3 linked regions of the Oryzias latipes genome follow. The protein of the gene in region 2 purifies or fractionates together with the protein of the main gene of each other region. This does not show direct contact. Links are inferred from orthologs where the notes say so. Each region holds a gene or a part of one and is shown on either strand. Other genes may lie near its edges. The genes, in order: wdr5, pdpk1 and syndecan-2-A.

Region 1 (4,254 bases), on a different chromosome or scaffold from region 2:
ACAGTCCAAGATGCCTCTTCTCTGCCATCCTGAGTGAAGGTGAGTGAATGCTTGTACAACCTTTTACCCAGATGTCATTACTTAGGAAATTAAAAAGGGGAAATATACTAAATTAAAGGGTAAACAAGAATAAGTGCCAAAAAAATACGTTTTGGCTCCTAGAACAAGTGCAGAACCTTCTTACCGAGTTGACATCCCAGATTTTCAGGGTTTTGTCGTCTGATGCAGACACCAGCAGGTTGGAATCAGAGGACCAGGCCACATCAGAGATGCCCTGCAGGATCATGGGAAATAGTTCAGACACATAAGAAGGAGAAGGGCGCTTCTAAAATCTATTCCTCCCACAGGAAATCCAGAGAACATATCAGAGCAATATCAGAGTACAGTTTTACTCACAAGTTTGTGTCCAGATATGGTTTTCTCAAACTTGCCATCATACGCTCCCCAGATCTTGATGAGTTTATCAGCAGCTGGAACAAGAGAACATCAGTCAAATCTATGAATTACTGTCATCACATCAATTATGAAGCCAACACTACACACAAATGTAACACAGCATACAAATTGATCCAAATGACAAGTTTAATACATCTGATAAACAGAAAACTATATTTACTAGATTAGAACATTCTACGTTTAATTCTAATTTGGTTCTAGTTTTCTCTGATTATTTCTCCTTGACAAGTTCATTTTGGGGCTGGGGGCCTCAGTGAATGTTAACTTCTTAGTTCAACGTGTTCCCCACCTCCACAGCACAGAGGCACAGTGACGTATGTTAGTTGGATGGATTATGGGATATTGGAGCATCAGTGAACAGCACTTTATAAGTTTCTATTTTTTGGTTTTCCCAACAAAACTAAACACTGTTGGTTCAGAAAATAAATCATCATCAGTTTCAGCATGAAACTGTCACACTTTACCATCTTTAGCTGATATCTGTCAGTTTATATCCTCGAATTCCAACATTATTCTGCTGATTTAGAGTGATAATTACAATGCGTGAAGTTTATTTGTACTATATTCTACTATATTTATAAAGACAACAAATATGCCCAAACATTGTTCTTGAAAAGATAGAAAGATTTCCAAGTATTTGGATGCTGGTTACAGCCCTGGCATTGTCTTACCCTTTCACCCACCTATTTCATCTCTGAGACTAACTCTGGAGGCGGATCGGAGAATGGAACAAAATATGACACCATGGTGAAATGGGCCTTTTAAAGTCCAACGTCAGGGCAAAAAGCCAAAGGGGCAGAAAGGAATAACACTACTAAAGTGGCTTTAGTAAAAAAATATATATGTACATAACTACTTCACATGTTTTGTTCTAACAATTAATCCGAAAAATCATTTGAAATAAACTCAAGATTCCTAAATGTTTGTTTTTTTTCTCTCTCTTTTTTTTTTTACTTGTCCTGTCCAACAGCTGGGCAGGTAGATGAGAGCTGACGGCCTCTTGTTTAGATTCCTAAATGTTAACATTTTGTAAACTCTACATAGTTTTTTTTTTTCATTGAGTAAACTCCCTTTGAACAGGGTCAACATCAACCAATATAATGGTTTCATGTTGAGTACATTTTGAGACATTCATTGCTTAAAAGCCACACAGAGGAGGATGAACTCACATGAGCTGGCGAGCCATTCTCCACTTGGACTGAATTTGACAGAAGACACGGCTTTGGTGTGTCCTGCTAACGTGAACTTCAGGCTGTAGTTTGGCTTTGCAGGCGCAGACTGTGGGGGGGCACATTTAATGCCATTGGTAAGATAGAAAAGAAGTACATATCAACTCTGCTAAAACAAAAACCAAAATGCATTGTTCACCATTTAATCTTGTATTAATTGGAAAACAAAAGAAACAATTGATGCAAAGCTGCAGTTGCACAAGAACACGGCCCAGAGTACTCAGTCATTTTCTTATATCCAGACCTTGCTTTGGCTTGCAGATGCTGACTGCACAACTGGAGGTTTTGTGTCAGTCTCTGGTTTCTTGTCTTCGGTTGCCATCATGAAAAAAATAGCATCTACTGAGCACTGCAAGGAGACAGAAGAGCACACAAGTATTTCAAATTACATGCTTGCACAGCCCCTTCGTCAAATTTATTATACTCTCGTTTATAGTTTAACGTGTTGTAGAAATATTTTGTTTATTAAAAGGTAAAGTTGATGCATACAATTGCAATGTAGATTGTATAGCCGTATTGGCTAAATTAAGCGTTTACAAATTAGCTCGATGGCTAAAAATTTTAGCTAGCTCAGTTAGCTTCGGTACGCTGACGTATAAAAACTCTTTTTTCTTAACTGGCAAAACAAAAACATCGCGAAGTGGCATTTGATGTACATTAAAGTCAGCTTCCACATTTTTAACGTCAAAATGTTTACCATAAAGAAATAATAGGTGAAAACAGCATCATATAACAAAAGCGACGCGGAATACCTTCCTTTGGCGCAACTTCAGACAGACTTTATATATTTGTACTTGAAAAAAAGACGCGTTGCATGTTCAAATGGATATGAAATAGACGTTAAAAAATATAAAGTGCTAGATGTTCAGGAAAACTATCAGCACTATGTACATGCGGTCACTTGTTTTTAGCTATTGACAACCTGCCACAAAAGCGGCCCTCTACTCCTCAGACAATGAAGATTTACGCAAACGCTCATACTTACAGAAACGTTTTACAGATTCACCTCCAGATTTTTTTCCTCCACCGAAGAAAACACGATTAAAACCAGTCTGTTTTTTCGTAATATGATCCTAAACTTACAAAAAACTAATCTACCTGCCTCCTTGTATACGTTTGGCTGCGAGAAAACCAACGAAGAAACGAGGGAATGTAGTGTGCCAGTGCAATGCGCAGGCGCGTCACACACAGAAGTAACGGAAACCTGTGAGGATCAAGTATCGATGGCACGAGTTAGAATAAACGTCACAAAATGCAGTTTTCCCTTAAGACGTAAACATTTTGCAATTAATATTTCAATTTACCAGAAAAAAAGTTAAGTGAAGCAAAATATATAATTCTCTTTTGATAATAGTATTATCAAAAGAAAAATATGTCAGTGCAAAATATTTGCGTTTTTTGCCAAATGAAAACAGTGGACACTCCAGAACACTAGATGGCAGTATTCCCCTTTGACTTCTGGGCTGACGTGCCCAGACAAATAGACACGAATTGAATTGCCAGCCATGTAGGTGCAGCAGGTCGGGAGAGGAAGTTAGCAGATGGTGACTGACTTCGCCGTGGAGGTACTTGAAGCGCATACTTTTCTGTTCAAGCTTCGGTGTAAAGTTTTACTGTTTTTGAAGAGGAGCATTGCTTGAACTTTTATTCCAATTTAACAATACGAGTTGGTAAACAACTTGCCGCTACCCTCCCTTCCCGTTAGATGATGATCGGAGTTTTTTCTCGAAACGGATTAAAAAGAAAACTTAGGTGATTTTTTTAAATTGCTTAAATACCTGATATATATTATGACTAGTTAAAATAAAAAAGTCAGACTTTTTTTTCAATAACATTTTATAGCAGCATTTTTAGGTGTTGCAGAGTTAAAGAAATAAAGGATTTTCGTTCACCACCAGGCAAGAAAAACATTTCATTTGTGCACAGACTAGCTAATTATGATAGCTAACACGTTGGACGTTTCTTGACCTCGAAGAAAATATTGGTATTCATTTGCATTGTCTCTTCAGGAAGTCTGTGTGGTTTGACAAATAATTTTTTACAATAGTTGTTGGAAGTAACGTTTTGGGGACTACGCCTCCATCTGCTAGGATACAAAGCCCTTATTTAACTGAGTAAAACTTTGAGAGTTCGTGCACACGTGAAGCATTTCAGTATCCAGTAGAAGGCATTCCTCGCGCGTGTCCAACAACAACAGGGGTTCTTGTGGGTTAAAGTGATAAAACACGCGGTTTTTGTCACGTCCGCCCACTTCCGCCTGGCACGTTCTGCAGTTCTTAAAGACCCTTTCTGAGGAATGTGAAGGAGGGAATCTGCTGCAGTGGTTTTGGTTTGCTTTCATGGAGCTGTAGCTTCCCATGTTTACATTTTTAAGTTGGTTAATTACTCCAAAATTCACTTTTTATTTGTGGTTGTTTTAATTTTTATTACATTTTGCGTTTTTTGATCTTCTGCATAGTGGAAACATTAAAAAACAAACAAAACAGTAATAGATTACAACATTCATTATTATATTAAGGATGAATTAAAAAAGCATAAAATATCAAGGGCTGAGATAACTAAACAATTA
Region 2 (4,391 bases):
CATTTTTAGCATAACTGAGCCCAAAATCTACAGAACGCCAGTTAAGAAACATGCTTTGAAGAATACACACAGACCCAAATCTTTAAAAGATTCTCATTTAAAAAACTCTCAGAAATCAGTTGTAAGGATACACAACTTCTCATCATCTTGAAATGTGAAGTAGAGCTTGACGAAGAATGGGTGATCAAGGCTTGACATCAAATCCCTTTCTCTTTTCACGTACTGGACTTTATTCTCCTTCATAATGTGGCGTTTCTCTAAAATCTTAACTAGTAAAAAAAAAGAAAAAAACATTGGTAAGTGTACAATCATTTATTAACGGTATAAATCAAAAGTATTTGCTGAAAGATAATCCGTTTTACTAACTTGCAAATTCTTTGCCTGTGGCATGCTCTCTTGCAAGGACAACCTGAGAACCAGAAACAAATGAGAAAATATTGAAAAAATGTTACAATTAGGCCCCATTTGCCATTAAATCAAAAGAATCCTAACATGTAGCAACATCTATCATAATATAATTCAGATAAAATTAAAGATTTATACCGTTGAGAAGGAGCCCTCTCCCAGTATTTTGCCAAACTTGAAGTCCTCTGGCTTCTTCTTGCGTGGCTGAGCCGGCTGGATGGCCGGCTGCTTGCAGGCCTCTGAGCTCTGGCTGTTTGCAGGCGCTCCTACAGCACAAGCCTCTGCAGCTGGGCCTTCCATACCGGAGCAGTGACGGCTGCTTGCGCCTGGGATAGCAAGTGGCGAGCAGGAGTCAGGGTGGTTTCTTACCATTGATGGATGTGAGCAGGAACAGATGACAACGTTGGGCTGAATGGGCACAACATCATACTGAAATGAGACAAGAAAATAAGGAGAATACATATCAGGAATGGAGTACTGAAGTTAAAATACTCTATTATTTGAGACAAAATTAATAAGTATATTTTAAAAACCTAATATTAAGTTGTTACTTAGTTAAATAAGCATTTTTTTGCTGAGAAATGTATGAAGATAACACTTGATTTGACCCTTAAGTAGACTATAGGTATCTCCATTTACATGTCATTTAAAATATGTATTAATAGAATGAAACTTTTTTTTGTCCAGGTCAAAGATACCTTTGCATTTACAACCTAGTACTTTAACATTTTAAGATAGTATATGTACTATTGTAAAATTATTGTTAAAAAAAAAGGAAGTTAAAGAATGCTTCACCCCCTGAAATGGGCAGAATGCACATCATTTACAACCAATAGAGCATTTTTCTTTACTATTTCAGAAAGTAGGCATATTTTAAAAAAACAGAAGTATGCATCTGTTACATGTAACATAAAGATGTTAGCAGGATTTCGTAAATAAGTAGTATTTCATGTCAGACTACCGAAGGGCAAAGTTCAACCTTGATAGCTATACACATAGAAACTTTATGCTTTTGTTGTAAAAACCTGTAAAGTTCCATTTTCAGTGGCAGCAGCTTTTACAACAATGACAATGAATATGGTATATTTAGTATATAATCAACCAGGCGTTGGAGCACTAGAACACAAAATGAAACTCATTAAGTTGCATCACAAATCGTAGTAGTTGATAGCCACTGTGTGTATAATCATTTAGCAAGTATGATAACACTTTAAAACGATTTCGTTTTACAAATGTAACCTGTGAAATGAATGAAACATGTAGTTAATTGGCAATAAGCGCTGATCAATTTATCTGGCCTAGCTTCTACTCATTCAAAAGCAACAAGGTGTGGCCATTTAGCTGCTTATTCCGGAGTTGACTATGTCATAATCAAGAGTTCAGATTAACCTCTATTCACTCGTCTCTTACAGATGGGCAATCGTGTATTTAATGATAGACACGGTCTGATAAAATTGTCATAACCAAAAACTGTTGTAAGAACTCTCCTATGGAAAGTTTCTTCCCCAACCAAAGCCTGCTAGCAGGCTAACATTAGCTCCTGCTACCTTGTCAAATAATGCCGGCCATCACTGACAGCAAGTTACAAACTTGACGCTAACAGCAAGTAAGCTAAAAGATAGCAAACAAGCCAAGACAAGTAACTGAAAAACCTCTTGCCTTTATGACAAAATGTTTCCCCCTCTCGTTATAAGTTACAATGTCCGCATGAATATCATATTTATAAAGTTGACAATCAGATGCCATGATGTTATCGTTAGAGAACTCTCTTCTATCGAAAGGTGGAATGCATTGAAGCTAACATTAGCTTGCTAGCAGGCAGAGTCGGTAAGTAGAAGCGCGAATCCAAGCTTACATTAGCAAACAGTGGCTGGTTCGAAGAAAGTCGTCTTAAAAAGCCTGAAAACAAATATATCAAACATATAAACGTACCCTATCAGAGCTTAATCGAAACACGTTTATCTAGTAATCAAGGAAAATGTTAAACAACCACGATAAGGACATTTAACGCGAAGTGTTTTGTTAGCCAACACTCGGAAGCTAACACTTGCTAGTGAAGCGTAAGGCGAAAAAGATATTAGCCCTGCTTTCAAATGAAGGCCCAGCGCAACTACTTACAACAAAGCTGCCATTCAGCACATTTTCAATGCCGGCTACGTACTGTTACTGTTCTTTAAATAGCCACACTTACCAGCTGACTTGTCGCTCTTGCCATGGGAGTTTTCTGCGAATATTTATGTGAAATAAAATAATTATAGAAGCTCCAGTAATGGCTGCCTCTGCGCCTTCATTTTTGAGCTGTGACGTCGTTCCACAACAATGTTACCGCAGGACAGCAGAGGAGAGTCCTGCTGTGTACGCCCCCGCCACATTAACAGCCTTCCACACAGATAAGGCTGAAGTGAAATAGGAGCGGTTGTTGATATTCAAATAAGTTATGGCCTATGAACTATTCGAGCTTAGAGGTCTTTTAACTGCAAGGAGAAAGAAAGCGCCGCTCACGCAGTTTGGGAGGATTTATTGACAGTCTTTGCGTCTTGTGTATTTATTAAACTGAAACCTGACTTTTTTTTTTTAATTCTAATTCTATTAAACTGAAATAAAGATAAAAACAAATCAAACGTATATATTCAGAATACACGCATTATTTTTGCATTTCTCTTATCATACAAGCAAATGCAGAAAGTTACAATTGTTTACTAATTTATATTAATGGATGACACATAATAATGCCAGTTATGTTTTTCGACATTTAATAACTTTCAATATACAAGTGCCTAAAAATATAAAGTTGATTACAATTTTTTACCATATATTTAAAAAAAAGTAAGGTTTGTAAAACTTAAATAAGATTTAATTCACCCTAACTCCATTTACTTTGTTTAATCTTAAAGATGAGTCCAAAGAAATGTTTTTCTGGATCTTGATGTTTTACATTTATTTTTAAATTTGAAGGTATACAGGCAAACTATCTTCACTACCTTATATTCCCAGCAAAGAACCGACATTACCCACTTTTTTGAAAATTTTCATTCTGCAGAAACATTCATTTACAATCTTATCTGTTTTGCAAAATTCATTACATTTCCTTTGCGTTAGATACCACAGTTTATAAAAGAAAAATAAATATCCTAGAATGTAGTTAAAATAGTTCGTAAATTGATTCTCTGTGATACTGTAAATTCTATTTCTGAAAATTATTTGAACTGTAGAAAATGTTTACCAAATAGTTAGGGTGACTCAAAAGAAACATTTTTAAATATATTTTTATTCAGTCCTCTTCTTGTTGATTACAGGATGTTTTTGAATCTTCATCGCCATCTTCGTTTTCATCTTCATCTTCCGACATGTCGCTGTCCTCACCCGATTCATCATCCTCAGGAGCACTTAACACAGAAATTATTTTTAATCACTTCTGATCCATCTTTACTGTTGGACCCAGTGCCCAACAACAGTAACTATAACTTTTCTTAGCGTGGGCTGCCCAACTCTGGTCTTCGAGACCTACCACTCTCCCTGTTTTCCAGCTCTCTCTGCACTGGTTTCTGACTTTATTCCGATTGACTGAACACACCTGATCAGCAGCTATAGGGAGAGTGCCGGGAAAACAGCCAGGGATGTAGATCATGAGGACCAGGGTTGTTTTCCACATCAGCCAGATACCCAAATTCAAACAAGCCTTTCCTTTTATCAACAAAAGTAGGTGTTTACCATTGACGTCGATTGAGATTCATACATTCAACCCCAGAATTAACATCAAATGGATCTGCAAACAAGAAAGATTAACACATTTCATTAGATATATTTTTTTTAAATATTACAGAGATCAAGACTTGAACTTTTAATTGTTTTCTGAATATTAATGAAAACAAAACAATGAAAGACTGCAATTTGTTACCCTAACACAAAAATACTATAGCGGTGGTAAATCTTTAATGGTTTAAAGACTTTTAAATTGCTTTGCAGTCAGTCTTATTCAAACACAC
Region 3 (3,592 bases), on a different chromosome or scaffold from region 2:
TGAGCTGTTTTGGCCTCCACAAAGACCATGCTGGTGGTCATTGGTGCCTCCTGCTCCTCCTCCTCTCCTCCGGCACCTGTAAGGAGAACAGCATCCAACCGTCAACCTGCATGTGTGCAAACCAAACTTCTGATCACAGACCTTCACATTTAGTGGATAATGGTTTGAAGTTTGGATCTGGTGTAGGTTCAGACCAGTAGAACCTCAAAATGAAGCTCGTCTGCAGAAGAATTGCTTTACCACAGCTGCAGGAATTAAAATAACTACAGAGAGGGTGAGGAACAAGCAAACAAAAAAATCTGCTACTGTACCTGAGCCAGATCCAGAGTTAAAGTCGTCGTCATCTTCAGGGTAGACACCTCCTGAGCCGGGCTCCTCCAGGAACAGGTCATCCGATTGTGAGGAGGCCTGAGCTGCTGCTCTCTGAAAACACACAGAAGAACGTTCAGGGAGGACCGTCAGAGAAACGTGGGACAAAGACCTGTCCAGGATGTACCCCACAGTGTCTCAGCCCAACAGTGGCTGAGATAGGCTCCAGCAACCCCGCAACCCTGACAGGGACTAAGCAGGTTCAGGAAATGGATCCATTTTTTATCACTCTTTTAGTGATCATTTAGTTAAAAGAATAGAAATCATGTTTAGTCTCTTTCAAAATATTCCTAACACAGCAAAGGAACAAAAAAATGATTGCATTTTAAATTCAGTCCAAATTTGAAGAGTTTATTCAGAAGAGGAAGGAAGAGCCACCAATTCTAGCTATTAAAGTCCTTCCTACAATGTTTTTCTTCTCTTTAGCAACATCTTTGCAGTCGGCTCAGAAACAAAGATTTACTGTTTTCCCTCTGATGGGCTGCAGACCAGCAAGGGGGGGGGGGGGGGGGGGTCACCCAGATGACTTTAATGTTTCTCACATGACAGGCAGATTGTGCAGTCGCACATTCGCATTCACTGAAGCCACAAACTCTCCACCAGAACTAATCCCGCTAAGTCCTGCACAACAGCAGCACGGGAGGAAACTGCTGCTCTAAGCTGCCGATGGAGCAAATCAGGAGAACATTTGGTCCAAAATGTTTGGCCGTCCTGCAGGAACGACACAATGACGCCACCAAATAACCATTGGATGAGGCTGTGAGAACATTAAGAAGTCATTGAGGGTCCGTGTCTGCTGTCTGAGCAGGAGAACTATAATGATATTTCTAATCCTAGCTGTGAGCTGCGAGAACTTTAGGGCTGGTGCGAACTTTAGGGCTGCGAGAGCTTTAAGGGCTGGTGTCGCTTGAGTCGCGGCCCACGAGGCTTGAGTCGCGGCCCACGAGGCTTGAGTCGCGGCCCAGGAGGCTTGGGTCCCGGCCCACGAGGCTTGAGTCGCGGCCCACGAGACTAGAGTCGCGGCGGCCCACGAGACTAGAGTCGCGGCGGCCCACGAGACTAGAGTCGCGGCGGCCCACGAGACTAGAGACGCGGCGGCCCACGAGACTAGAGTCGCGGCGGCCCACGAGACTAGAGTCGCGGCGGCCCACGAGACTAGAGTCGCGGCGGCCCACGAGACTTGAGTCGCGGCCCACGAGGCCTGAGTCGCGGCCCACGAGGCTTGAGTCGCGGCGGCCCACGAGACTTGAGTCGCGGCGGCCCACGAGACTTGAGTCGCGGCGGCCCACGAGACTTGAGTCGCGGCGGCCCACGAGACTTGAGGCGCGGCGGCCCCGGGAGTTGAGTCGCGGCGGCCCACGTGACTTGAGTCGCGGCGGCCCACGAGACTTGAGTCGCGGCGGCCCACGAGACTTGAGTCGCGGCCCACGAGACTTGAGTCGCGGCCCACGAGACTTGAGTCGCGGCGCACGAGACTAGAGTCGCGGCGGCCCACGAGACTAGAGTCGCGGCGGCCCACGAGACTAGAGTCGCGGCGGCCCACGAGACTAGAGTCGCGGCGGCCCACGAGACTAGAGTCGCGGCGGCCCACGAGACTAGAGTCGCGGCGGCCCACGAGACTAGAGTCGCGGCGGCCCACGAGACTTGAGTCGCGGCCCACGGGGCTTGAGTCGCGGCTCACGAGGCTTGAGTCACGGCCCACGAGGCTTGAGTCGCGGCGCACGAGGCTTGAGTCACGGCCCACGAGGCTTGAGTCGCGGCCCACGAGACTTGAGTCGCGGCCCACGGGGCTTGAGTCGCGGCTCACGAGGCTTGAGTCACGGCCCACGAGACTTGAGTCGCGGCCCACGAGGCTTGAGTCACGGCCCACGAGGCTTGAGTCGCGGCGCACGAGACTTGAGTCGCGGCCCACGAAGCTTGAGTCGCGGCCCACGAGGCTTGAGTCGCGGCCCACGAGGCTTGAGACGCGGGGCACGAGACTAGAGTCGCGGCGGCCCACGAGACTTGAGTCGCGGCGGCCCACGAGACTTGAGTCGCGGTGGCCCACGAGACTTGAGTCGCGGCCCACGAGACTTGAGTCGCGGCCCACGAGACTTGAGTCACGGCACACGAGACTTGAGTCGCGGCCCACGAGATTTAAGTTGCGCGACTGTTTGTGCGACTCACAAGACCATTATAGCACTGAGAACTCAACTCACTCTGAGATCACCTTTCAAATTAAAATGATTTTTCATATTTTGTTTTTACATAAATCCTGATTTATTTTGGATTTATTTTTATCTTAAGAACATTTTCTGTTCTAGTTTAACAGCTGCCTGCCTAATCCACTATGAATCTCCCTTTTACAAGTTTCCTCGGATCGGACACGTCTTCAGCAAGTTGACAACATTATCAACAGAACATCATTCTCTGTTAAATGTTTGCAGCTGACAGACGTCAAACCGGAGGCTAGCTTTAGCTGCGTCCGACTTTTAAGGTGTGATGGATAAATAAAGCAAAAATAAAATGGAACAACAGAATATAAATATCATTATAGAAATGAATCCAAAGTGTCTGCATCTTTATTATTTGTGCATTTGAAATATTAAAAAGTCAGCAGCCACATATCAAACAAAGCTGTTTCGTTTTTGAGAAGAACTGTCTCGATAAATCCATTTGTCGCGGAAAACTCCTGCTTTTGTGTGTAAATCGCAGCTTTGAAGTTGAAGACTCTTATTCGTTTTCCTCATTGACTCTTTTTACTTTTTTGTTTGATTTTTCTTAGTTTTTAAGCATTAAACTACTAACTTCGACCAGCTCCTTAAGGTCATGTGACAGACAGATGAGGTGAACGGAATCCGGTAGTTTTTCAAAATAAAACTTCCTTCAGTATCAGAAAATAAACAAAACGGACATAATCAAAGTCAGCCTATGCATTTTCTTTCTGTCTGCAACCTGGTACTAAGTGGCTCACGGACCGGTACCAGTCCACTTCCCAGAGGTTTGGGACCATCAAACAAAATTTTCAATCATTCACATCAGATAATTAACATCACGTGTTGCAAGGATGCACCGTTTTCTCTCCCAGCATATTATTCTTTTGTCGAACACATCTGCAACAAATATGTGAACCTTCTGGAAATTACTGGGATTTGGGGATCAATTGGACATTTTCTGATTCTAAAACACAAGAATAGAAAAACCAAGTCCAATTAAACAAAACTTTAATTAAACACAATCTGTT

The links.
Region 1: the proteins of pdpk1 (region 2) and wdr5 purify together in Homo sapiens (affinity purification with mass spectrometry; 4 studies listed by BioGRID and IntAct, counting the BioPlex papers as one, with this or other methods). This does not show direct contact. The link is inferred for Oryzias latipes from reciprocal best matches to the Homo sapiens genes PDPK1 and WDR5.
Region 3: the proteins of pdpk1 (region 2) and syndecan-2-A purify together in Homo sapiens (affinity purification with mass spectrometry; 4 studies listed by BioGRID and IntAct, counting the BioPlex papers as one, with this or other methods). This does not show direct contact. The link is inferred for Oryzias latipes from reciprocal best matches to the Homo sapiens genes PDPK1 and SDC2.

Annotation. Positions count from the first base shown.
Region 1 is NC_019870.2:23,024,958-23,029,211, forward strand, and holds the start of wdr5 (WD repeat-containing protein 5), read right to left. Parts: upstream 2,862-4,254; 5' UTR 2,671-2,861; intron 2,035-2,670; 5' UTR 2,011-2,034; coding exon 1,930-2,010; intron 1,735-1,929; coding exon 1,626-1,734; intron 471-1,625; coding exon 397-470; intron 275-396; coding exon 185-274; intron 1-184. Other genes in the region: bromodomain-containing protein 3, read left to right, coding at 3,227-3,250.
Region 2 is NC_019877.2:9,278,190-9,282,580, reverse strand, and holds the start of pdpk1 (3-phosphoinositide-dependent protein kinase 1), read right to left. Parts: upstream 2,809-4,391; 5' UTR 2,621-2,808; coding exon 2,597-2,620; intron 835-2,596; coding exon 544-834; intron 410-543; coding exon 367-409; intron 270-366; coding exon 132-269; intron 28-131; coding exon 1-27. Other genes in the region: ribosome biogenesis protein TSR3 homolog, read right to left, coding at 3,677-3,791, 4,117-4,171. UniProt on the Homo sapiens protein: Serine/threonine kinase which acts as a master kinase, phosphorylating and activating a subgroup of the AGC family of protein kinases.
Region 3 is NC_019869.2:20,677,760-20,681,351, reverse strand, and holds part of syndecan-2-A, read right to left. Parts: intron 424-3,592; coding exon 312-423; intron 77-311; coding exon 1-76. UniProt on the Homo sapiens protein: Cell surface proteoglycan which regulates dendritic arbor morphogenesis.